7 linked regions of the Mus musculus genome follow. The protein of the gene in region 3 purifies or fractionates together with the protein of the main gene of each other region. This does not show direct contact. Links are inferred from orthologs where the notes say so. Each region holds a gene or a part of one and is shown on either strand. Other genes may lie near its edges.

Region 1 (2,855 bases), on a different chromosome or scaffold from region 3:
TAGGCTTTACACAGGGGTTGTTTTATCCCGTGGATCTGAGGATGCACTGTGTCGGCCATGCTGTCAGAGTGAGTGCAGTTCATGTTTCAGTGACAGGGCGACTGGGGGGAAGAGCTTCCGAAAGGGTTCCTCCGCCCAAAGAGTGCTAGTCTCTAACCTCGTCCCCGCGCTGCTCTTGCTGGGTGCTGAGGGGTGCCTTTTCTGAGAAAGGCAGTTACTTGGTTACAGGTGATTGTGACCATGTTTATCTTGCAACTCTAGATTACACCTAAGTTCTGTTCTGGTTTGCAAGGGTTTTCCCTTTGCTGGCATCAGGTCCTTGTCTCTGGCTCTTGGGAAGGTGGCTTTGGAATGCCCACTGCCGTGAGTCAGGTGCACCTGGGCGTTGGTTACGATTGTGAAATAGTAAAAGGCAGCTAAGAGAAGCCAGTCTGGGGTAGATAGTCTTTGAAGGTGCCCTATTTGACAAGTCACTTTTCTTCAATAGCTTAGGAGATCCGAGGAGGATGAGGAGAAAGAAGAGGATATCGAAGTCCCCAAGGCCATGGGGGACATTTTTGAGTCTCTTGCTGGTGCCATTTATATGGACAGTGGGATGTCTCTGGAGGTGGTCTGGCAGGTGTACTATCCGATGATGCAGCCTCTAATAGGTACAGTGCGGGCTCTTTCCCCCTGGTGTATACAAGAACACTATTTAAAATGCTTCTAGGGCCTTTAGTCACCTTATATAATCTATTGTTCTGATTATAGAAAAGTTTTCTGCAAATGTGCCTCGTTCTCCAGTGAGAGAATTGCTCGAGATGGAACCAGAAACTGCCAAGTTTAGGTAAGCAGGGTGTGTACGTGAAGAACTAACATATCTACACTCAAGGGTTCTCAAGAAACCGTAGCTACTGAATGAGAGCGCCTGCATGGCCTGCATCCTCTCAGCGTCCACGTTGGTGTGACCGGCTGTTCTTCCCCTTTTTGTTTTCATAAAGTGAAACTGAGGGAGGGAGGGAGGGAGGGAGGGAGGGAGGGAGGGAGGGAGGGAGGGAGGGAGGGAGGGAGGGAGGGGAGAGCGGCCTATGTGTGCTAAGGCCTGGTACATGGTCAACTCATAAGAGGGACTCAGCCCAGGAGGACTGGAGGTGTCGACTGACAGTAATAACAAATACTTCTGATTCCTAACTCAAACTGTCTGGGGTTTTGCAGCCCAGCGGAGAGAACTTATGATGGAAAGGTCAGAGTCACCGTGGAAGTGGTGGGAAAGGGGAAATTTAAAGGTGTTGGCCGGAGCTACAGGATCGCCAAGTCTGCTGCAGCACGAAGGGCCCTCCGCAGCCTCAAAGCTAACCAGCCTCAGGTTCCTAACAGCTGAAGCTTCCGGACTCACAGGCGGCAAGACAGCGGACCAGAACCACAGCTCCACGGCACAAGGATGGTTCGGGCTGACACAGAACAGGAAAACTGAAGGCAGAATTTAAAGTTTGATAATGAGATAGATAACAGAATAAAACATGTAATATGTGTATAAACTCTTTGGAACTAATTTTGGTTTAGTTTTTGCGCAGACACAATCTTGTCTTCTTTACCCACCCTGCTTTGCTTAGTCACAGGAGTGCTTTAATCCTGGTGTTTGTTAGCAAGGTTTTAAAATCATTTTGACAGGTTTTTGGTTTTGTTTGTTTTGACATTTAATTTCTGTCGACTTTGCTTGGTGTTAGAGGCCATGGAGCTTAACCTCTAACAGTCCCTAGAACTGGGTCGTCCTGACCTTGCGGTCCCTTACACTATACCTGTCCTGCTGCGGTGTCAAGCCCAACAAAAAGGGCAGAGTGTGCAAAGGAAGCCCCCGTGCTGTGGAGGGCAGTGGAGGCGGGGCCGGGCGGACCCCGGGTACTATTGCACGGAATAGTAAGGGACAGATTTTGAGTCCGTGTTGGCTGCTGGTGAGTGGAGGCCAGGCTTTCAGACGCCACATTGTGCTGCAGAGAGGATTCTTGCCTTAAAAGGAAGGACTTGATAGTTTGCTTTTTTATTTTGCCTTCCCCTTATTATGCATTGGATGAAATGGGGTGGCAGCTCACTAGGGCACTTGCAATGGAACTATTGCAGGTAGGATTTCTGTTGTTTGTACTGAAGACATTCTAAAACCCAGAGTGAGTATATAGATTTTTAAAGCATCATTATAGACAGGATACATGACTAGATGCCCGGTTTTCCTCAGAACTTCCTGCCAGGTGGTCCCAGTGGCGGAAATGCCCGGTCAGCTGCTGTTCTGACGAAATGAGCCTGAGATGCAGTGTACCTAGACACGCCACAGGTCTGTACTAGGCAGTGTTGCCAGAGTCACCAAAGCTGTGCTCTCTTTCCTATGGGGTCAGCATTGTGGCAGACTGCCAGGACCAACCCGTCTGGGGTAGAAGTCACCAGTTTAGATAAACTAGGTCATTAGTTCATCTCAGACTCAGAAAGTAAAGCTGTTTAGGCATTTGCTGAAGGTCTCGCCTGGGCTTGTGGGCCCCTCTTCACTTACACACCTCAGTCCCTCCCTTTGCCTGCATTTTCCCGTTGGTGCTACGTTTATGTATCATGCTTGAAGTTTAATTTTTTGCACTGTGACTATAATACCTCTTAATTTACATTTAAAAATGCTGTATGGGTTGCCCGTGCCCTCCCACCGACACACAGGAGAGCTTTGCTGCAATTTGCCCTCTTACGCTTGAAGTCTCAGCAGGCTGAGCCAGGGTAGCTCGCGTTCCCCACACATCTCCTGAGGCTGATGCTTCATGTAATGCTGCACTTAGGTTCAAGTCACCCGCCCGAGAGAGAGAGAGAGAGAGAGAGAGAGAGAGAGAGAGAGAGAGAGATGC
Region 2 (3,500 bases), on a different chromosome or scaffold from region 3:
CCAGGGGGATGGGATGGAGGATTTGGGGACAGAGGCCACCCTCAGGCTAGGGAGGTCCCCTACCTGTCCAGCTCCACCTCCTTCATCAGCACTTTGTCACTCATGGTCTGGATGTCATCCTCTAACTCCAGGATACGGGCCACATGGTCTCCCTGCTGCTGGCTCAGGATGTCCCTCTCTTCTGAGAGCTCCCCATGGGACCGGGAGAGCCCCTGGAATCAAGGTTCCACCAAAAGAGACAGAGGGTCAGGACAGGCTCAGGCTTACCATTATACGTATGCCCCGCCTCTGTCCTGCCACCTTCCTTGGGAAAGCTGAGTGGAGGCGCTGTTGCCTGGGAATGTGGCATTACGCCACCATTCCTGGATGCAGAGAACTGAGTCTTGTTACAAACTGGGATGTACCTCTTATCATTCAAAGCTTAGTCTCACCTGTTACCCTTAAGCCTATTTCCTCCATGCAAGGACCATCTTAAAAACTCCACTGACATCTTTCCTTTCTCCTCTTTGCTGGGTCTGGGCCCCCCCACCCCCACCAGCTCCAACTCCCACCTTGTACTGCTCGGTGAGCTCCGAATGCTCCTGCCTGGCCGTGGCCAGAGCTGCCTCCAGCTCCTGCACTCGGCTCCTCAGCTCTGTCACCTGATCCTCCAACTGCAGCTTCAGCTGCATCAGGTCATTCCGCTCCTGCTGGCTCTCATCCAGCTGGTTCTACAAGGGCAGGAGAAGGGGGGGGAGAGAGAGAGTGAGAGAGAGTGTGTGTGTGTGTGTGTGCGTGCGCACAAGCACCATTGTGTGTGTGTTGTGTGTGTGCGCGCGCGCAAGCACCATTATAGACACCTCGGGGCAGAGAAACCAAGTCAGCATGGCCCAGACCTTAACTGCCGGCCCTCAATCACCTTTCAGCCCAGGTCTGGCACTTTCCTCTGACAGGGCACAGTGACAAGGGGCCTCCTCTAAGTTTACCTTATCTCTATTGAGTCAGACAGATTTGAGTAAATCTGAGATACAGTTTTTACTAGCCAAACCACTAAACTCCTCATCTGTGAGGTTTAAATGAGAATAACCAATGTAAGACCAGAACACTGGGTAGAAGCTTGTGTTATCCCTCCTATCATGTTGGTCCATGTATTTATCAGGCTCAGGTTCTGGAGAGCGGAGACTGGTCCAAATCTCTGAGGAGCTACCAGTTTTCACCTGCTGAGCAGCTGTTCTCCCGTCTGGAGAATGGATGGACTGCCTCCCGCCTATCCCTCACTGTCTCTGTAGTATCTGCCTTCGCTCCTGAGACTCTTCTCTGGCCTGGTGGAAATATTTATATATTTTTTCTGGCACATTTTTTAAGTTTGAATTTTCTAGCATCCACTTTAATAAGAAGTATATGAGGGCCACAGAAACAGCTCAGCAGTCAAGAGTGCTTGTCGCTCTGGGAGAGGACCAGAGGTTAGTTCCCAGCAGCTACATCAAGTGGCTCACAACCACCGGTAACTCCAGCTCCAGAGTATCCTATGACACACAACCTTCTGGCCTCTGTATCCACACGTACGCACACACACCTGGGCTGGGGAAGGTAATTGAGGGATTGAAGTTAAAAGTACCACGGCTAGGCCAGCAAGATGGCTGATGAGATAAAATACTTATTGCCAAGCCTGGAAACTTGAGCTTGGTCCCTGGATCCTTGAAACCAACGCTGAAAAGGACGAGAGGACCAACTCCCTCAAGCTGATTTCTGACTCCACACGAGTTGTGGCATGCAAGCACTTACGTATATACATATCTACACATACCCAGATAAACACAACTAAATAAATAAATGTTGAGATACAAAGTGTTTGAAATCCAGTATGCTATCTTTCCTGTGATTATACCTCAAACTGGATTAGTCATACCTGAAGTGCCAAAGAGCCCTATGTGGTCAGCACCTTTGGTACTGAATGGGACAGTTTCGAGCCCTGCTGTGCCCACACTCTTTCCTCCCTGGGTTGCTTGAGGCAGTTTTCCTCCACCTTGTGGCTCTCCTGTAGGATTTAGGGCAGGCAGCCACCCTTTGAAAAGGCTGGCTCTCGCAATGCTGTCCTTGGTGTCCCTGGCCCTGGAACAAGTCTGCAATTTTTTTTTTTCTTACCTGAAGCACGGTGGCCTTAGGGACAACCAACAGGATGTCAGAGCCTCCATCAGCCTCCTCCAGGGTCACCAGCTCATCCATGGGCCTTGGCTCTCGGAACTGGAAGGGGGGGCTCTGCCCACACACCCGGCCCTGGCGGTTCACATACCGGAACTGGTAGAGTTGGGCTCCTGGTTTGGGCAGGTAGCTGGCTGTGGGAAGAATAGCCCAGAAACCCAGTATGATCTCTGGCTCTCAAGTGCTAACAGGTTCCTGTTCCTATTGAGGAGGACGAGTATCCCCATGCTACCTACTGTCCACTCCCTTGTGGCGGTCCTTGGGATACGGTCCTTCCTCCTTCCTGTCTAGACACCTGCTTTATTCATACCCGGTCTTCCTCTTCATCACATTGACTCTAGCTGGCACTGACTGTCTGCTGGCATGCACCACACACCACACATTCAGCATTCCCCAGGTCATGTAAAAATCTCTGTAGGGATCCTACAAGCTGGGACCCTATTCTAACTTACCTGCTCAATGCCAAACAGCTTGTAAAGCAGGGAGCTGAGATTTGAATCCAGGTCGCTCAGACTGCTATTAGCACACACTTTCCCTTGTCCTATACTGGGAGTTCCTCTTTCGTTGTGTAAATGAATGGGATTAACATCCTCTATCTTTCTACAGTATCCTCTAAGTTACCGGTGCCGACCCTACGATAACTTGCTGAACTCTGTTGGACACAGTCTCACAAAGTCTTTTTTTTTTCCCCCTTTTGGAGACGGGGTCAGCCATGTTGCCTAAGCCAGCATTGATATCCTGGGTTCACGTTATCTTCCAGCCCTAGCCTCCTTGGTAGCTGGGATGACATTGGAGTACCATTAGGCGTGGCAATTAGGAGTTATGTGCTCTCATATTCCTTATCCTCTGTGCTTTTTATGGCTGTTAGCCCTCCGCCTTCCCCCAAACCACCACTTTTTTGGCTTCTCCATCTTTATTTTTTTTATTTTTTATTTATTTATTTTTATTTTTTGGCTTTTTGAGACAGGATTTCTCTGTGTAGCCCTGACTGTCCTGGAACTCACTCTGTAGACCAGGCTGGCCTCGAACTCAGAGATCCACCTGCCTCTGCCTCCCAAGTGCTGGGATTAAAGGTGTGTGCCACCACTACCCGGCATTCCATCTTTCTTTATACCTTGGAATTGGACACTGGCATGGGTGGGGGAGCCATCAGTTGTACTTTCTGGCACTGAGGACCACACGAACGTGTGATAATCTCGAACGCAGGCAGCTTCCACCTAGAAGAGAAAGGCAGGATGACAGAGTTATCGGTGAGAAATAGAAGGGTGGGCAAGGGCAGGACTGAACAAATGGTACCAAGGATGCTAAGACTCAGGTAA
Region 3 (4,239 bases):
GAGTTACAATGCTTGCTGACAGACACCCCGGGCTCAGTTTTAAACCAAATGACTAGCAAGGCCACACAGCATAGTACTGACCAGAGTTCTTAACAATAATAACACCATGCAGGTCCTACTGGCAGATGCGGTGCCAAGCACCTAATTAGCATCCAATCACTAAACGAAGCTATTCAATATATTCGTGTTCATTAGAAAGAAATGGGGGCTGGAAAGATGGCTCAGTGGTTAAGAGCACTGTCTGCTCTTCCAAAGGACCTGGGTTCAATTCCCATGGCGGCTTACAACTGTCTCTAACTCCAGTTCCAAGGGGCCTGCCACCTAGACACCAATGCATGTAAAATAAAGCTAAATAAGTTTTTTTTTAAAAAGAAAGAAATGAATACAAATCTACCCCTGCATAAGATATTGGGACACAACAGAGGGTGAAATGTGTTCTAAGAATCTAGGGCACCCGTTCAAGTTAAGCCCTCCCCTTCCCCTCAAAGTTGAGGGGGAGCCTGCACACTCCAGAGCCCAGAACTTAACCATTTGACCTATCATCTTTACTCCTGTCAGGAAACATCTGGGGTTGTATCACGACATTTAAAGAAAACGGGGGTGGGAGAAGGAGGTTGAGCCTTTACTTAACTCCCCGCTTAACTTCCAATGGGACACAGATAACTTATATCCTTCCCGGAGGGGACACCGAGGCACGAGACCGGAGGAGCTCGCCCCCGGAAAGCTAACACCGGGGAATGCAGGGGGCCCAAAGCGAAGCCGCGCGACCACTTCTGCTCAGGGCGGAATTCCGGCTTGGACCCACCGGGACCGAGGCCCTTTGAGAGCCGGGGTGCAGGCCGGGCCGGCCAACTCTAGGACACGGACTTGGGGCGAGCGGCCTCCTGCCATCCTCTCCGTTAGCCCCGGTCCTTCACGTGATCCACTACAGACCCTAGCCAACCACACTAGCCCGCTTCCTTACGCCCCCTTGACCCCGTACCCGCAGATCAGGGTCTCGGTCTCCCGCTCTCTTCTAGAAAAATGGAGGAGCGAATCGTGCCCGATCGATCGCTCGGAGTGCACACCCAGTGCGCACGTGCAAAGGGCATGCAGCCGAGCGCCGAGCATCCCTGCTCCCTCGCAAGTCTGCCCTTCTCGCCATCTTACTCACTGGCACGTTCGAGACGCTCATTCACCGTCTCCGAACTAATCACCTCCGCGACTGCCTTGAATCCAAAGGGCTGTGTGTGACTGGCGAACGCCTGATCCTGGGGAGCACGGCGGGCGATAGAACGGCCGCAGATCGGACGGGCCGTTGGTGCACCACTTCCGGGCTCCGACAGCTCAGTGCGCCTGCGCCCAGCTACGGCAGGGAACGAGCTTCCCATAGTCGCGTTTACGGTGAGCCAATCACAGAACGGCATTGCTCCGGCTCTAGCCAATCAGCTCTTGGAGTAGAGGGTTTGACTCCTATTTTAAAAGGAGAACCTTTGAATTGTAACGGCTGAGCTACCGGGATCGCTTGGAGGCTTCGGTCGGGAGCAGGTTCCTGCCTGTGAGTTGGAAAGGGACATGGCTGTTGAGGGCGAGCCTGGATGCTGCAAACGGATAGGGAAGGCTGTGTGGCGTCGGGGTAATGGACTGTCTCAGTGGGTTTGCATTCTGTTTAAGAAAGGTCCAGACGTTTAAGATTTCCCGGCTTGGTTTTAGGTTCTTGTGGGAATGGGGATCCAGACCATCAGCTAACCGAGTAATTTGCAAACCGATGGTGGATGCGGGAACTGCGGCTTATTGGGGACTGCTTCGGGTGGAGAATCAGAGTCTAAGTCGACTCGACGAGTCTGTGGATGAACGGGAGTTCCCTCGTAGAGTGCCCAGGACTGGTGCTGCTCTTCCCGCAGCCTTCTGAGCAGTTTATGTCGGGACTACTTGAGGGTCTGTTTCAAAGCGCAGACCCGCTAAAGCTCAGTTTGTAGAATATTCCAGAAGTTTTAGGATTGAACACTGCCTTCGTGGTGGCCGCCGCTGTTTATTCCAACAGTAAGGTGGTGGAGGCAGGATCAAGTCAAAGGTCATCCTCAGCTACACAGTAGGTCCGAAAAACCAGCCTAAATTACATCCACATACGTCCCTACCTCAACACCTCCATCCCCACCACACACACACACACACACACACACACACACACACACACACCTAAATGTGTGGTTGCTTACATCAGCAGTCTGAGGCAGGAGGTTAGCCTTCGATTTAAGGCCAGCCACAGCTAATAAGTGAGAGCCTGTCTGGGGATGTAGTTCAGTTAGTAGGGTGCTTGCCTAGCCAGCCCTGGATTCCATTCCCAGCACTTGGAACCCCGAGGATGGTGATGACCTCTGTGGTCCTAGCACTGCGGAACTGCAGGCGGGAGGATCAGGAGTTCAGAGTAATCCTCCACCGTATAGCATGCTCAAGGCCAGCCTGGGATCCATGGAACTCTTGTCTCTACCACAAACATAAAGGTTAGGTGTGGTCTTGCATTCTTTTAATCCCAGCCTTTTGGAGGCAGAGGGAGGAACTCGGTGAGTTCAAGGCCAGCTTGGTCTACCTACATAATGAGTTCCAGAACAGCCAGGACTACCCAGGGAGACCCTGTCTCAAAAAAAAAATCCAAACCTAACAAACAAATCCTGGCTCCACTGCAAATACAGGAAATAGAAACCTCTTAGGGATAAGACCCTGGTGTAGCTATTATGGGAAAGCTAAACTGCAGGGCTGGTTATTAACCTTGGTCTGGGGCCCAGGAGTGTGAGGTAGCTGCAACTGCAGTCCTTTGCTCAGGGCTTCTGCCTCCTGCCTAGCTTCCCTGATCTGAAAAGGGGAACCCTGTGGCATGTGCAACTTTCTTGTAGTAAATCTTTGAGCTGAGTGAGAACCATCAAGGTCATTTGGTGTAGATCCGAAGGTGAAGGACTTGGACTCCTCCTAAAAGAAAGGCTCTTGTTTCCTTTTTCAGGTGACATGGACAGATGTAAAGAAAACTGTGTCTCCAGGCCTGTTAAGGTACAGAATTACCTGTATTTACAATTTCGGCTTTTAAAAGATTTATTTCTGCCGGGCGTGGTGGCGCATGCCTTTAATCCCAACACTGGGGATGCAAGGAGGCAGAGGCAGGCGGATTTCTGAGTTTGAGGCCAGTCTGGTCTACAGAGTGAGTTCCAGGACAGCCAGGGCTACACAGAGAAACTCTGTCTTGAAAAAAACTAAAAACAAAACAAAACAAAAAGCAAACCCAAAACGAAAACAAACAAAAGATTTCTTTGCTTATTTTATGACTATGAATGTGTCTTCATGCACACTAGAAGAGGGCATTACAGATGGTTATAAGCCACCATGTGGTTGCTGGGAATTGAACTCAGGACCTCTGGAAGAGTAGCCAGTACTCTTCATCGCTGAGCCATCTCTCCAGCCCCCACAATCGGTATTTTTTAAATGATGTGCATTTTGTTTGTGTGCACCTATGCATATGCCACTGTGTAGGTCAGAGAGCAACTTGTCAGAGTGGGTCCAGAGACCCTAACCCAGGTCCTTAGGCTTGGCTGTAAAAGACCTTAGTCCCTGAGCAAATCTGTACAGTGCTCGTGGAATCGAATCCTTTCCTCCGTGGCTTTGGGTAGAAACTTTAGGTTGACCCTGCCTGGAGGCTACCTGAGCCTCTGTTTCTTCAGGAAATGGCTCTGCTGTGGAAACCTCAGACCCTCTGAGCTCATGGTGGATCCTGAGCGCCTCATTTAAGGAGGAGGGAGTGCCAGCGTCTCTGAGTGTGATTAGTTTAGTCTTAAGATCTCGTTAAGACTGACACAACACAGATCATCCCGTGCAGTAGTGATTGTTTTCAAGGCCTCCGTGGTCTTCTTTGTCCTTTTTTTCCTATTGAAAAACATAATTTCTATGCATTTTAGTTTTGGAGATAACATTCTTAAAAAATATTTCTGTTGGGTGGGGCTTGGTGGGCACACCTCTAATCCCAGTATTTAGGAGTCAGTAGTGGGCAGACTGAGATAGAGGCCAGGCTGTTCTATATTGTGAGTCTGGGACTGGCCAGGATTACACAGTGAGACGTGGTCAAATAAGTGCTGTGATAGAAAGACCCAGGGGATGGATGATCTGAGAGAACGGCAATACGCCCTGGAAGCCCAGCATAACCTTAGATTTAGACTGTTTTTTTTTTTTCAAAATTGCTTGAGGATGATTCTATCGTCTTTTCTCCTAAACGTA
Region 4 (3,500 bases), about 130 Mb from region 3:
GGTTTAAATGCTTATTTCAATATTCCTTAAAAACAAGCACGTTGTGGCACACACCTTTAATCTCAATGCTCATGACATAGAGGCAGACAGATCTGAGTTCAAGGTCAGCTTGATAAACATAGCTTCAGGATAGCCAGAGCTAGATAGGGAGATCCTGACTTAACAAAATAAAACAAAAAACCTACAAACAAACAAACAGAGGATATACATCTATAATCCCAGAATTTGGAAGACTAAGGCAGAAGGATTACCAAAATTTTAAGGTCATTATGGACCAGATACTGACTTTTTGACCAGCCTAGGCTACAGAATGAGACCCTGTCCATAAATAGGCAACTAACTAACTAAATGTTCAGTCATTAGGAGACTGACTTAGGAAAATTACTGAACTTTTGAGGCTAACTTGGGATACATAGTGAATTCCAGGCTAGCCTGAGCTACAGAATGAGATCCTGTCTCAAATAAACAAACAAATGTTTCATATGCCTTATCTGAACTATTTCTTCCCCTATGAGTGCTCAGGCATTTAGGGGAGGGACTAAGGCTGGCAGTAACACTGCCAGAAAGGTTCAAGGTCAATCTGGCCAAGCAGACAATTCCAGCCCATCCAGATCCATGTAGCAAAATCCTGTCTCAAAGTTCCAGAATCAAAGAAAGAAAAAGGAAGAAAAAAAAAAAAAATGGTTTGTGTCCCATAGCATTTCAGATTTCAGTTTGGGGCTTGAGGTGTAGCTTCCTGACAAAGTGCTTAGTCTGTATGCCCTGGGCATGCGCCCCCCCACATAAAACAAAAGTATCGAAAATCTGAAACTTTCACGTGTCAGATCCACAATCTGAACTTGAGTGTCCCAGTGGTGCTCTAAGTCTCAGACTTTACAGATGATGACTGGGGGTGTGAATTTTCAGATTAGAGATACTCAATTGGTATTATACAAAATTACTTTCAGACTATATATTATAGATAATGTATAAAAATTATATTTTATAATATATAACAAAATTATATATTGTACATATAAAACATAACTGTGTTTAGATTTCTGTCTTATCCTCAAGAAATCTCATGTTTTCCAAACATTCCAAAATCTTAGCATTTAGGAGACAGCCATAGAAGGATCATGGCATCAAGGCCTCCCAGGATGACAGTGACTTCTAGGCCACTTTGGGCCTCTATGTCTCTATGGAGACATCCTGTCAAAAACAAACAAAACCACCAAAAGATTAAGGAAGTAAGAAAGCTGGCTAAGAACACAACACAGCACTAAGGAAGGTCTGGGGATACAACTCAGTGGCAGAATACCAGCCCCAGAATACATAGGGTCTGGATTCAATCGCCCACACTGACCAAAACAAAGAAGAGGAGAGAAGGCGTGTGGAGGGGGCATGTGCAGATAAAACCCCAGTGTATAATGTGTACAGCATCCACCTTCAGTAGATTCCAGGGTCCTATGCTGAATTTGATTACAATGTTTGAAGTGACATCCAGCAATCTACATTTTTTTGGGGGGGGGGTAGGGTTTCAAGACAGGGTTTCTCTGTGTAGCCCTGGCTGTCCTAGAACTCAACTCTGTAGACCAGGCTGGCCTCAAACTCAGAAATCCGCCTGCCTCTGCCTCCTGAGTGCTGGGCCTAAAGGCGTGCGCCACCACGCCAGGCTTACTTTTTTTTTTTTAAAGATAGCTCAGCAGTTAAGAATGAACCATGATTGGAGTCAATTCCCAGTACCCCATCAGGCAACTCATGACTGGAACTCCAGAGGATCCAATGCCTCTGGACTCTAAAAACACCTGAACCTACATGCATGTGACGCACGCACGTACACACACACACACACACACACACACAAACATCTAAACATGATTAAAGATAATATAGTAATTTTTTAAAAAAATTTTTATTTATTCATTCTCTGTGTATATTGGAAGTTATGCTGCAGAATGCACATGTGGAGGTTGGAGAATAACCTTAAGAGTCAGTTTCTCTCAGTCCACCATGTGGGCCCTGGCAAACAAACTATGGTTATCAGGCTTAGCAGTGAGTGCCTTTCCCCACTAGGTCACCTCATAGACCCACAATATGCATTTTTAACAAGCAGTCAGTGATTCCAAAGTGGGAAATTTAAGATTACATTCTTTTTTTTTTTTTACACTAATTTGAAAAGATGTACCAGCCAGGCAGTAGTGGCGCACGCCTTTGATCTCAGCACTTGAGAGGTAGAGGCAGGCGGATTTCTGAGTTCGAGGCCAGCCTGGTCTACAGAGTGAGTTCTAGGACAACCAGGGCTACACAGAGAAACCTTGTCTCGAAAAAAACCAATGTATACCACAGCCTTAGGAACAGCATTCAGCCTTTCACAATATGGCAAGATTTTCATACTGGGAAAATGTGGAGTAAAGCAAAAAACAAAACAAAGTACATATATGACTTATACAACTTCCCCCAAAGTAACACACCACTCAGAATCAGAGAAAAGAAGGTCTTACCATAAAATCCATACACCTGTGTTATCTGTCTACTCTCATGATTTCCTCTTAAAAGTGTAATACGGTCAGGCCACTTAGCCTTTAGTGCAAGAAGATAAGTGAAGGTCTCCAAACTATAGTAACCTCTGTCTACAAAATCACCCTGTAAAGTAAAAGTTTACAGTTACAAACTGTACAATAGCATAATAGCCCAAAAGAACAACAATAAACAGCTGCACATAATTTCTTTTTTTTTAAAGATGTATTTATTATGTGTAAGTACACTGTATAGCTGTCTTCAGACACCCCATGAAATCTTATTAAGGATGGTTGTGAGCCATCATGTGATTGCTGGGATTTGAACTCAAGTCCTTCGGAAGAGAAGTCAGTGCTCTTAACTGCTGAGCCATCTCTCCAGTCCTAAAACATAATTTCTTAAGGAATGATTTAAAAACAGGAGTTATTTCTCTGTAAGCTTGAGGAACTTTGAGATCCCGATGTGGATGTAAAAAGATGGCTGCAACTGCCTCTAACAAACACTGGGGCCTGAGAAGGTGGCGCCTGGAAGCTAGCCACATGGCTAGCCTACTGAAACCCAGTTTCTGGCTCGGTAAGAGATTCTGTTGTCAATACAATAAATCAGAGATAAGCCTGGTTTACTTAGAGAGCTTCAGGTCAGCCAGGACAACATAGTAAGACCCCTTACAAAACAAACAAACAAAAAACAGAAAAAAAAACCCTACGTATACAAAATAGTATTTACACTTCCAACTAATGTCTGATTTAGACCAGTAATATACCAATATTTAGAAAATAGCTTTAAAAAATCATAATAGGGTTTGAGAGGTGGCTCAGTAGTTAAGAGCAAAACTGCTTTTCCAGAGGACCCAAGTTCTATTGCCAGCATCCACATAGTTGCTAACAACATCTGTAACTCCAGTTCCAGGGGATCTGACACTCTCTTCTGGCCTCCACAAGCACCAAGCATGCATGTGGTAAACAGACATACATGTAGGCAAAACACCCATAAACATAAAA
Region 5 (3,500 bases), on a different chromosome or scaffold from region 3:
GTTAGAAGAAAAGATTTACAGTGTCTCTCCTTCCCTTCGTTGTGCCTGCTGGGAAAGTGGCAGTAAGGGGTAGGAAAATACCCTTATTTTCACATGATTAATTTAAGGGATTCTATAAAATAGGTTTACAGCTTTCACTGAAGCCAAGCTTTAGTGAAACAGACACATTCACCATGTAACAGAACAATTCTTACTCGGTAAATCAGGCTGATGAAAGCCTGTCGTTCAGTAAAGACCAACTGAGATAGTTAATACGAAGTCTGCCTTTAAAGGACCCATTAGATTTTCATGCTCACGAGAGGCTTTTAAGTAAAGAGTATTGGCCGACAGAAACCCTGGGTCTATATCTATTCTCTTGGGAGATAGACCTTCATTTACTGGTGCCACCTCATTGTTGATCTGTGACCCAGCTGTGTTGAGTGGCCCACCTAGGTGTGTTCATTCTTGCTTTGTCATTCCAGGCATGTCTAAGGGATTTACTGGAACATGCATAAACCTGTGTCCTCCCCACCCTTCTCCTCAGGTGCTCTACCCCGTGTGCCATGTGCGGAATCTGATGCTGTGGAGCGCAGTGTACCTTCCCTGCCCATCCCCATCTACCCCCACAGATGACAGCTGTGCACCATACCCAGTCCCAGGCACTAGCCCTGATGAGCCCCCACTGAGCCGGTGAGCCCAAAGCTGATGCCACAAGTCCTAAGTCCTGAATGGTGCTCTTCTTTCTTAAGTGGTGGTATCCCCTCTCCCCTGCCTTCTGCCCTTCTTCTCCCTCCCTTCCCTGCCTCCAAGGCTGACCTTAGACTTGCAGTGATGTGTGTGTTCGAGTTACTGGCCTGAACCACGACATCTGGCTGAAGTTTAGTTTCTTAAGAAAGATAGTAAGCCTTATTTCTGAAAATGAATTGGACCTGTCCCTACATTATTCTGCCACCTGCACTGAGCGGTTTTTCGGTAGTGGAGCACATCTGTGGAGTCTTTGTGGACTTTGGTTTGTTCATACCCTGCTCCCTGCTCTGGTTAGTCTTCTGAAGCTTGAAAGTCAGATGCTATAAGATGAGAGAAACTGGTTTTGCAACTTGTGAATATGCTTTATTAAGAACAGAGTGAGAGATAATAAATGAATTTAAAATGTCTAGTACAAAGGACCAGCAAGTTCCTTTGCCACTACCTGAGAGGTGTAGACCATTTCGAGGGATGCCTTGTGAAGGCTACAGATGCATGAAGCTATGGGTTGAGCCCCAGTTTTGCATAACCTGACCTGGTGACACATTCCTGTACTGCCAGCACATTGGTGGTAGAGACAGAAGGATCAGGAGTTCACGGTCATTGCTAGGCCAAATAGAGAGTGTGAGGCCAACCTGGAATACATGTGTTCTTGTCTGAAAAAAATCAAAAAAAATAAAGAGAGGAAAATGTAAAAGGATGCCTTCTAGAAATAATGTATGCTGGTAGCTTATGTGGGGGTGGGGATTGGCAGTGAGGAAGTGCAGGCAGTACCTGTGGAGAGCCGTGACGCTCTAGGAGTCTGAGCCTCATTTTAGAGATGTGGCTGCGATGGCCCAGTTGTGAAACAGTAGCTTATGAAAAACCTGTTGTCCTCTGGGGCCCTCTAGATCGCCTCTCAGATTCTCATTTTCCCTAAACCCTTTTCTTTTTAGGCTACCCAAGACTAGATCATTTGACAATCTGACCACAACCTGCGAAAACATGGTGCCGCTGGCCAGCCGGCGCAGCAGTGACCCCAGCCTGAATGAGAAGTGGCAGGAGCACGGGCGCTCGCTGGAGCTGAGCAGCTTTGCCAGCGCTGGGGAAGAGGTGCCTGCTATGGACAGCCTGCGCAAGCCCAGCAGGCTGCTCGGAGGTGCTGAGCTTTCTGTGGCAGCCGGAGTGGCTGAAGGGCAGATGGAGAACATTTTGCAAGAGGCCACCAAAGAGGAGAGTGGGGTAGAAGAGCCTACCCACAGGGGGCACACTGAGGTGCCAGAGGTCAAAGAGGAGGCACCCCTAGCAAAAGAAAGTAGCATGGCGGCCGAGGGCCCCGTTGTACTTTACCAAGAACCACAGCTGGATGACGCTACTTTAAGAAGCCATCAAGGCCCCAGCCTCTCTTTGTTCTCCCAGGGTATTCCTGAACATCAGGATGGGCACAATGTCCTCTCTAGTTCACTCCAAGCTCCTCTCAGGGGAGAGGACTCCCAGGAGGTCCCTGTAGAACAGCCTCAAGTAGAGAATATTGCAGAGGACAGGGAGAATGTAGCTCCTGCTGTCCCAGTAGATGCAAAAGTTGGCCTTGGTATCTCACAGTCTAGTTCTCTGCTGCCTTCCCAAGTCCCATTCGAGACAAGAGGACCACACATCAACAACTCCGTGCACATGTTACTCGAAGATAAGGTAAAGTCAGAAAGTGGGCCCCAGCTCCATCACAGACCTTGCCCAGCAAGCAGTGGTAGATTCAGTGGCAAGGACATGCTTCCTGTAGCACCAGAGCCCAGGTCTGCTGAGAGGCCCCAGTGGGACTCTGTGCTACACAGGACTTCATCCCCTGGCAACACCCTTAGCCTGCTGCAGGCTCCTTGTGCCTTGCCGTTAGATAAATGTAGACAGGGAATTGTGTGCAACGGTGCCCTAGAGACTGAAAACAAGGCCTCAGAACAGCCTGCAGGGTTTGACACCCTTCAGAAGTACCCCACACCCAATGGGCATTGTGCCAATTGGGAGGCTGGGAGGAGCAAGGACTCACTGAGCCACCAGCTGTCTGCCACAAGCTGTAGCTCTGCTCACTTGTACTCGAGGAACTTGCACCACAAGTGGCTGAATAGCCACTCAGGGAGGCCATCCACTACCAGCAGCCCTGACCAGCCTTCCCGCAGCCACCTGGATGACGATGGCATGCCTGTGTACACGGACACAATCCAACAGCGCCTGCGACAGATAGAGTCTGGTCACCAGCAGGAAGTGGAGACCTTGAAGAAACAAGTCCAGGAGTTGAAGAGTCGCCTGGAGAGCCAGTACCTGACCAGCTCTCTGCGCTTCAATGGAGACTTTGGAGATGAAGTGGTAAGTTAGGTCAGGATTCCTTTGAAGCCTTCCAAGGAGACGGCACGCAGAGGCCAGCAAAATAACCCTTTGCACCCAGTGCATGGTTATTGAAACAGACTTCTGAAAGGATTAGAAAGGTCTCAATGTCGAGAGAGATTGTTTGGGAGTTGGCCTTGGCCATGGAGACAGCAGTCCTCCTCTTTTCTGCTGAGCTGGCTTCTTATTCCCTTGTAGGAAGTTAAGAAAAAGAGGTGAGTTAATATGCATGACAGGGGAATCAAATCTCTGCAGAGGGTCCCTGTGTCAGCCAGGCTTTGTGGCTCATGCCTGTAATCAAGGGAGGCTGAGGCAGAGCATTTCTACAGGTTTGAGGTTAGCCTGAGCTACATAGTGAGTTCTGGTCTAACCTGGACAACAAAGTGAGCACCTATCTCAGTTCACTCTACCCCAAAATAAAACAC
Region 6 (3,500 bases), on a different chromosome or scaffold from region 3:
CAGGGTGCTGGTCCAAATCCCCGTCCCCTCAGAGCATGGAGGTGTTCATGGGTGGTGACTCACTCCCTAAGCCATGTTCACGGGACCTGCTTTGTGCTAAGTACTGTTCCAGGTGTTGATGACCTAGCAGTGAGCAGAGACAAGGATCTGCCCTCTAGAGCTCTAGACTGCATGAGAGACAGACCACAACCCACTAGCTGATTACTAGCTGATTGTTGAGAGGAAAATGCCTGCAGGGATGTTAGAAAAGAAAACAGGGAAAGCTATATCAGAAGGCCTCCCTGAGCTTGAGACCAAGCGGAAGTAATGATACCCATGTATAGGAACACTAGCAAGGGCCGAGGTGCAGCAGAGATGAAGAGTCAAGGAACAGCAGAGTTGTCATGGGCCCAAGTGCTGGGTGCAGGGGGGCAGGAAAGGGGAAGGGAAGCTCCAACAGAAGCTGCACCACCCCTTGCATCTTAGGGAGGGAGCTGATGTCATAGGGACGATAAAGAGATGTCACTAGATGGCATACACAGGCCAGGGAGGATGGCAGACATCTGTGGGCTTGTCAGGCTCACATAGAAGCCAGGTGGGTGCCACACGAGCCTGTAATTGCAGCACTTAGGGTGCTGAGGCAGAAGGATTGCGAAGTAAGGCCTGAGCTATACAATGAGATCTTGTCTAAGAAAACAAAAACAAAGTGCAAAAACAGGATTGAAACGAAGGAGGAGCTAAAGCCATACAGTCTGGGCATGGGCTTGCTTCCAGAAGCCATGCCAGCTCCTCAACCCATGTTCAGGCTAGTTAAGCGTATCAGAGACTGGCTGGAGAGAGAGCTCTGTGTGTAAAGTCCTTGCTATGCAAGCATGAGGACCTAACTCCAGTCCCCAGGACCTACATAAATAGTTAGGCATGGCGACATGCTTATAGTTCCCAGTGTGAGAAAGGTAGAGACGGGAATCCCTGGGGGGCTCATTGGCCAGCCAGTCTACCCTAACTGGTGAGCCCCGGGTCCTAGTGAGGGACCCTGTCTCAAGAAAATCAGCCAGGTAGCTTCTGAGGAGTCACACTGAAGATTGACCTTTGACCACCACATGCATTCACGCACACACAGAGTAATAGAAACATTTCAGTTGTTGGGGTTTCTAGAACACTCAATGAGCTATATCTGTGCCCTGTCTACCAGGGTCCACCCATGAGCATAGCTCTTCTTTAGTTAGGCCAAGCCTGTACCATTTCCTGCATCTGAGTTTCAGGACTGTGTTACAGGTGGATAAGGTCCTGGAAAGCTCACTCCACACTGGGGGAAGGAAGCAAAAACCTCGATTCTGGGTCTGCAGTGTTTGGGTTTGGTATTGAGGGAGGAGGAGACCTCTGCTTTCTTGTTCCATTCCCTGAGTGCCATGCTGGGCACACAGGCTACAGTGGCTGTGTAGGAACTGCTGGCTCTTGTTTCCCCAGCCTTGGGGACCAGGAGTGGCTAGAATGGCAAGAGCACAGTTCTTGGTGGAACCAGTGACGACCCCTTTGCTTGTCCCCAGGAAGTCCCTGAGTGCTCTGGCCTTCTCCCCAGATGGGAAGTACATAGTGACAGGAGAGGTGAGTCTTGACTGAGCAGGTGGGAAAGGTCTGGGGGCCATTCCTTCTGCTTCCAGCAGGCTTGGCAATCTCTGAATTGGCTCCTGATTTTAGATAATCCCTGTGGCAAATAGGGGAGGTGGCTTTGGGAACAAGTCACAGCAGTGCCAACTTCTAGCCCTGTCTGTGTCTCAGTTAGGGTCTTACTGCTGTGAACAGACACCATCATCAAGGCAACTCCTGTAAGGACAACATTTCATTGGGGCTGGCTTACAGGGTCAGAGGTTCAGTCCATTATCATCAAGGTAGAAACATGGCTGCATCCAGGCAGGCATGGTGCAGGCAGAGCAGAGAGTTGTACATCTTCATCTGAAGGCTGCTAGGAGAAGACTGGCTTCCAGACAGCTAGGATGAGGGTCTTAAAGCCCACACCCACAGTGACACCCCTTCTCCCAACAAAGTCACACTTCCTAATAGTGCCACTCCCTGGGCCAAGTGTATACAAACCATCACACCCTGCCTTACATATAGTTCAGCAATAGTAATGGCCTCATCCCCTCTGCCTCCCAGAATGGACACCGGCCAGCTGTGCGCATCTGGGATGTGGAGGAGAAGACTCAAGTGGCAGAGATGCTGGGCCACAAGTATGGTGTGGCCTGTGTGGCTTTCTCACCCAATATGAAGCACATCGTGTCCATGGGCTACCAACATGACATGGTCCTCAATGTTTGGGATTGGAAGGTGAGAACCGAGTGGGCAGGTGGGCAGGCAGGGAGTCACTAGCACCCTAAACCTTGGGCATTAGGGAGCACTACCAACCTATTGCCTGCTGTTGCACCATGCTTACAGTGAGGCTTCTGTCCCTGAGGTCACCTGGTGGCAAGGCAGAGTTTGGGTCATCATGTCTGTTGGTATAGGGAACAGATCAGGAACCGAGTAGCCACACTGAAAGGTTAGGACAGAAGTGCTATTTTTGTGTTGACTAGCTGTGGCCGTGCACAAGCGCCTTGACTATTTTTTCGCCTGTAGAACGGCTTTCCTAGCATCTACCCTTGGCTATGTGAGCTCCAGCTCCCTGACACGCACTCTAAGGCTGGGCTTTGGCACAGCTATAGCAGGACTTGAAGTCCTGGTTCTGCTTCCGACCCACCATGTGACTTTGAACACAGCCTGGCAGGGTGGAGGAACACTTCCCTCATGAGCTGGCATCCACAGCTATGAGGGGCTCAGGGCAGGGCCCAGAGCAACAGCCCTTTGTGTGGTAGCCATAGATTGTGTTCTCCTTACCACCAGCTGTTACCATTCCCAACATGTGGCTGCAGAGCTTGGCCCTTGGTGGGAGTTCTGAAACTTACTCTTCCTGGGACCTTTCTCTGTCTGCTCCTCTGGAGCCTAGGAATGACCAGAGTTGCACAGTTTTCCTTAGAGTTTAGACCACTGCCAGGTCCAAGAACAATGGGAGAGAAAGCAGGGAGAGCCCAGTATGGATGGGTGGATGGTGCTGTGAACCGCTCTGTGCCTACTCTTCCAGAAAGACATTGTGGTGGCTTCCAACAAGGTGTCATGTAGAGTCATCGCTCTCTCCTTCTCTGAGGACAGCAGCTATTTTGTCACCGTTGGGAATCGGCATGTGAGGTTTTGGTTCTTAGAAGCCTCTACTGAGGCCAAGGTGAGTTTTTGCACCCATTATGGTCAGGTCTCAGAGGGTCACTAGCAGCATGCTCCTATGTCTACCTGAGACTTGGAGGCGGGGTCTCCCAGGTCACCCAGCTTCTTGGGCATAAAAGTGCTGACTAGTAATCCTGCTGGACTCTGCCTCTAGGCCAGAGCTCACTGATGGACTGCTGCCTCCTGGCCCCTCTGCCCTGAGTACGGGTTCTGCTTTTCTTCCTTCTCCTCCACATGGAAGACCCTCTTAAAAGCCCTCCTTTTCAGCT
Region 7 (3,500 bases), on a different chromosome or scaffold from region 3:
CACACAACAGACTGAACTCTGCAGTAACGCTCTCACACAACAGACTGGTCCAAGAACTTTGCATATGGTAAGCAGGAAAAATAACCGTTGGTTAGAATTTTTGTATGTACTTTGAATAATATTTCTATTGGGAGATATTCCTAGGAATTTAGTTTCTAGATGAAAAGCCACAAGTGCTCCTTCCACTCCAGTGATTGTGCCAGCCCCACCCCTTGTGCCACCATGTTAATTTTTCTCCCATGGCAACTACTTCCTTCTCATCTACTAATCTGATTTTGAGAAATAATTTCCTTTTTGAGGGTACATGAGGTCTGCCTCAGCTCAGATCTCCCAGCCCCAAGTTTCTCAAGTGTCTAGAATGACAGGAACACCCCACCACACTCAGCCTCAGAAAGAGTCACTTGTTAAACTCAAGGGCTAAAGGCTCCAAATGATAAATGCTCCCCTCATTTCAGCACCCACCTGGTCAGCCAACTTTGACGTCCCAATGGAAACCACCCATGGTGCTCCCTTAGACTCCGTGGGATCCGATGTCTGGAGCACAGAGGAGCCAATGCCAACTAAAGAGACAGGCTGGGCTTCCTTTTCAGAGTTCACATCCTCCCTGAGGTGAGCAGTTGTGTGTTTTCTTAATGTCTGCAGAGGGAGGCAGGAAGTGCATGTGCCTTGGCTCAGCTCTGAGGAACGACTGAGACTGAGCAGAGGGTTGGGCCACACTGACCCAGCTGAGCGCCACAGCAAAACCGGAAGCTGCCCTGGGAAGATGGCTCCAGGGTGCTTAAGCAGGAGAGAAGGGAAGATGATACCTGGAGAGCTGTGGAGCTTCAAATGCTCCACGGGTGGATTGAGGGGAGTAAGAGTGGGTGCCTGACCAGCCCTTGTGGGAGGGCACAGCTATAAGGCCGAGTCTGACTTTGCTGTGGATGTGAGCTTGTATTTCACTTGCCACCATCTAGTGCTATAGAGTGCCAACAGATCACTGTCGTTGCCGGTCCTGGTGTTTGTTTTACTCAGTCACAGAGACCTTATTTCAGAATTTTCCTGAATAGCTTTGTCAGCATTTGAATACTAAGTGAGGATTTCATGTTTCACTTTGTATAAACCAGGTATGTTCACACTGCTGACATCTGATTTTTCTCTTTTCTGAAAGCACAAAGGAGTCTTTAAGGAGTAATTCGCCTGTGGAAATGGAAACCAGCACTGAATCCGTGGACCCCTTGACACCTGGTGCAGCTGCCTTGGCCACTCAGCCAGAGGGTGAGTGCAGTGTGCTAATGTGTTCACAGCAGGTAGGAAAGGCTAGACCAGGCTTAGGCTCAGACCAAAAGGAGGCAGGAAAATAAGAAAGTGGCTCTGATGTCCGTTGGTCATCACAGGAGAAGGGAGAAGAAACTATCTTGACAACCACAAAACAGGGGTTCCAGAAGGAGTTGGGTACCAAGTGTGAGTCCTGTCAGTGCTGAGGATAGGTAGATGTCTTAGGGTTTTACTGCTGTGAACAGACACCATGACCAAGTCAACTCTTCTAAGGACAACATTTAATTGGGGCTGACTTACAGGTTCAGAGGCCAGGCAGGCATGGTGCAGGAGGAGCTGAGAGTTCTACATCTTCACCTGAAGACTGCTAGCAGAAGACTGACTTCCAGGCAGCTAGGATGAGGGTCTCAAAGCCCACACCTGTGCTAGAATATCCCCTGGAGTTCTACTGAGGCACATGGGGGTGGGAACCTGGTCTAGGTTGTGGGCCTGGGTTTTCCTCCCTATATGAAGTGGTCACAGGTGTCTCAATCCTAGGGGACTGTATCATGTTCAGAATATTTACCTTGTGCTCCTTGGACTGACCTTGAGCCATTTGCAGACTGCAGAAGAGCCTTTTGGGAGAGTGTGATATTCGCAGAGTATGGTAGGGATGGGATGTGTGTGGAGGCAAGAGCTTCAGGAAAGAGCAAAGCAGCAAGTTTCTGGGAAAAGAAAGAGGAAGTGAGCAGAGGCCTCAGGACATAACCAGAAAAGTGATGGGGACATCATCACTCCAAACATTGTTGCCTTGTATTCCAGTTTGAGTTTGTTGCTGTGATAAGACAAGAAGCAACATAGAAAAGAAAAGGCTTCACTTAGCCGGGCGTGGTGGCACACGCCTTTAATCCCAGCACTCGGGAGGCAGAAGCAGGTGGATTTCTGAGTTCGAGGCCAGCCTGGTCTACAGAGTGAGTTCCAGCACAGCCAGGGCTACACAGAGAAACCCTGTCTTGAAAAAACAACAACAACAAACAGCTTCACTTGACCTCCAGCTGCAGGTTATTCAGTTCATCATCTTAGGGAGCAGAGCAGGAACTCAGCCCGCTGGCCACTGCCTCCACAGTCAAGAGCAGAGAGAGCACATGCACCACCTTGCTGGCTGCTGTCTGCTCAGCCAACTTTCCTCTCTAGTGCACAGCAGAGAGCCTGCCCCACAGTTGGCTAGATCCTCCATCAGTTAACATCCATATAGTCCCCCTCGTCCCCCCCAAACACCTGATAGAGTTTTATTCAGCTGAGACTCTAAACTGTAGCATTTAAAATGCCTTTGTAGCTGTTTTGATGGCTAAGGAGCTAGAGGCACAGAGTGGTCTCCTTTCCCTGGGATTATACAGATTTGGAAGTTGGGATGGGGATACTGGGTTCAGATCTAGAAATCTGACAAGTCCAAGCTCATAACCATTGAGCATACCATGTGGCTTTTATTGTAGATTAAAGGAAAGATCCCGGGGCTCATTCTCCTGTGTTGTAGAGTGGGTGTAGGAGCAGTGGGAGAAAGCTGGGACCATATGGACACAGCGCTAGGAAGGGTCTTTGGAACTTACAGCTCTCCATTGAGGAAAACCTATGAGGGAGCCACCCTGGTGGGCATTTATAAGAGCCAGGTGCCCATTAATAATGTAGCCAGGCAGAGCTGCTACTCTTAACATCTTGAAGTGTACGCAGGACTACGGCATGGGGGTCTGAGTAGAAAAGAGACTGAGCTCCAGGGTAAGTGTGGTAAATGTGACTGTCATCCACTGTGTGCACTTTCAGCACCAGGCAGTATGGCCATGGAAGCCAGCTCAGATGGGGAAGAGGATGCTGAGAGTACAGACAAGGTAACTGAGACCGTGATGAATGGCGGCATGAAGGAAACACTCAGCCTCACTGTAGACGCCAAGACAGAGACTGCAGTCTTCAAAAGGTAACCAGAGCCTGGGACTCCTACAGTGACAGCTTGTCGGGAGGAAATGGGGAAGAAACCCAACATGAACATGTTTAGATTCAACTGAGTACTCATAGGCTAACTTGTTATCTTTCTAATATCTCCATTAATGTTAACCGAGAGATGGAGAGTTTGGACCCCTAAAGTGCATTTTTCCTTATGTGTGTTGTCTTCAGAGTCTAGCAGATTGTCAGTGTTCAGGTATTTGACACAGCTTTGCTCATGCTAGAGCCTGACATGAACAGAGGCTGCAGATGCTACCTGTCTACCCAAG

The links.
Region 1: the proteins of Aurka (region 3) and Dicer1 purify together in Homo sapiens (affinity purification with mass spectrometry; 4 studies listed by BioGRID and IntAct, counting the BioPlex papers as one, with this or other methods). This does not show direct contact. The link is inferred for Mus musculus from reciprocal best matches to the Homo sapiens genes AURKA and DICER1.
Region 2: the proteins of Aurka (region 3) and Calcoco1 purify together in Homo sapiens (affinity purification with mass spectrometry; 3 studies listed by BioGRID and IntAct, counting the BioPlex papers as one, with this or other methods). This does not show direct contact. The link is inferred for Mus musculus from reciprocal best matches to the Homo sapiens genes AURKA and CALCOCO1.
Region 4: the proteins of Aurka (region 3) and Ppp6c purify together in Homo sapiens (affinity purification with mass spectrometry; 4 studies listed by BioGRID and IntAct, with this or other methods). This does not show direct contact. The link is inferred for Mus musculus from reciprocal best matches to the Homo sapiens genes AURKA and PPP6C.
Region 5: the proteins of Aurka (region 3) and Mtmr3 purify together in Homo sapiens (affinity purification with mass spectrometry; 3 studies listed by BioGRID and IntAct, counting the BioPlex papers as one, with this or other methods). This does not show direct contact. The link is inferred for Mus musculus from reciprocal best matches to the Homo sapiens genes AURKA and MTMR3.
Region 6: the proteins of Aurka (region 3) and Wdr62 purify together in Homo sapiens (affinity purification with mass spectrometry; 3 studies listed by BioGRID and IntAct, counting the BioPlex papers as one, with this or other methods). This does not show direct contact. The link is inferred for Mus musculus from reciprocal best matches to the Homo sapiens genes AURKA and WDR62.
Region 7: the proteins of Aurka (region 3) and Ppp6r3 purify together in Homo sapiens (affinity purification with mass spectrometry; 6 studies listed by BioGRID and IntAct, counting the BioPlex papers as one, with this or other methods). This does not show direct contact. The link is inferred for Mus musculus from reciprocal best matches to the Homo sapiens genes AURKA and PPP6R3.

The regions. Positions count from the first base shown.
Region 1 is NC_000078.6:104,690,098-104,692,952, reverse strand, and holds part of Dicer1 (endoribonuclease Dicer), read left to right. Parts: intron 1-487; coding exon 488-650; intron 651-750; coding exon 751-826; intron 827-1,194; coding exon 1,195-1,360; 3' UTR 1,361-2,855. UniProt on the Homo sapiens protein: Double-stranded RNA (dsRNA) endoribonuclease playing a central role in short dsRNA-mediated post-transcriptional gene silencing.
Region 2 is NC_000081.6:102,715,679-102,719,178, forward strand, and holds part of Calcoco1 (calcium-binding and coiled-coil domain-containing protein 1), read right to left. Parts: intron 3,399-3,500; coding exon 3,296-3,398; intron 2,316-3,295; coding exon 2,125-2,315; intron 711-2,124; coding exon 552-710; intron 213-551; coding exon 64-212; intron 1-63. UniProt on the Homo sapiens protein: Functions as a coactivator for aryl hydrocarbon and nuclear receptors (NR). Recruited to promoters through its contact with the N-terminal basic helix-loop-helix-Per-Arnt-Sim (PAS) domain of transcription factors or coactivators, such as NCOA2.
Region 3 is NC_000068.7:172,367,771-172,372,009, reverse strand, and holds the start of Aurka (aurora kinase A), read left to right. Parts: upstream 1-1,439; 5' UTR 1,440-1,537; exon of another isoform or gene 1,538-1,554; coding exon of another isoform or gene 1,555-1,615; intron 1,616-2,977; coding exon of another isoform or gene 2,978-2,982; coding exon 2,983-3,024; intron 3,025-4,239. UniProt on the Homo sapiens protein: Mitotic serine/threonine kinase that contributes to the regulation of cell cycle progression.
Region 4 is NC_000068.7:39,202,350-39,205,849, forward strand, and holds part of Ppp6c (serine/threonine-protein phosphatase 6 catalytic subunit), read right to left. Parts: intron 2,626-3,500; coding exon 2,484-2,625; intron 1-2,483.
Region 5 is NC_000077.6:4,486,791-4,490,290, reverse strand, and holds part of Mtmr3 (myotubularin-related protein 3), read left to right. Parts: intron 1-523; coding exon 524-669; intron 670-1,658; coding exon 1,659-3,057; intron 3,058-3,500. UniProt on the Homo sapiens protein: Lipid phosphatase that specifically dephosphorylates the D-3 position of phosphatidylinositol 3-phosphate and phosphatidylinositol 3,5-bisphosphate, generating phosphatidylinositol and phosphatidylinositol 5-phosphate.
Region 6 is NC_000073.6:30,270,411-30,273,910, reverse strand, and holds part of Wdr62 (WD repeat-containing protein 62), read left to right. Parts: intron 1-1,526; coding exon 1,527-1,584; intron 1,585-2,133; coding exon 2,134-2,304; intron 2,305-3,094; coding exon 3,095-3,232; intron 3,233-3,500. UniProt on the Homo sapiens protein: Required for cerebral cortical development. Plays a role in neuronal proliferation and migration.
Region 7 is NC_000085.6:3,464,250-3,467,749, reverse strand, and holds part of Ppp6r3 (serine/threonine-protein phosphatase 6 regulatory subunit 3), read left to right. Parts: intron 1-455; coding exon 456-609; intron 610-1,150; coding exon 1,151-1,257; intron 1,258-3,054; coding exon 3,055-3,205; intron 3,206-3,500.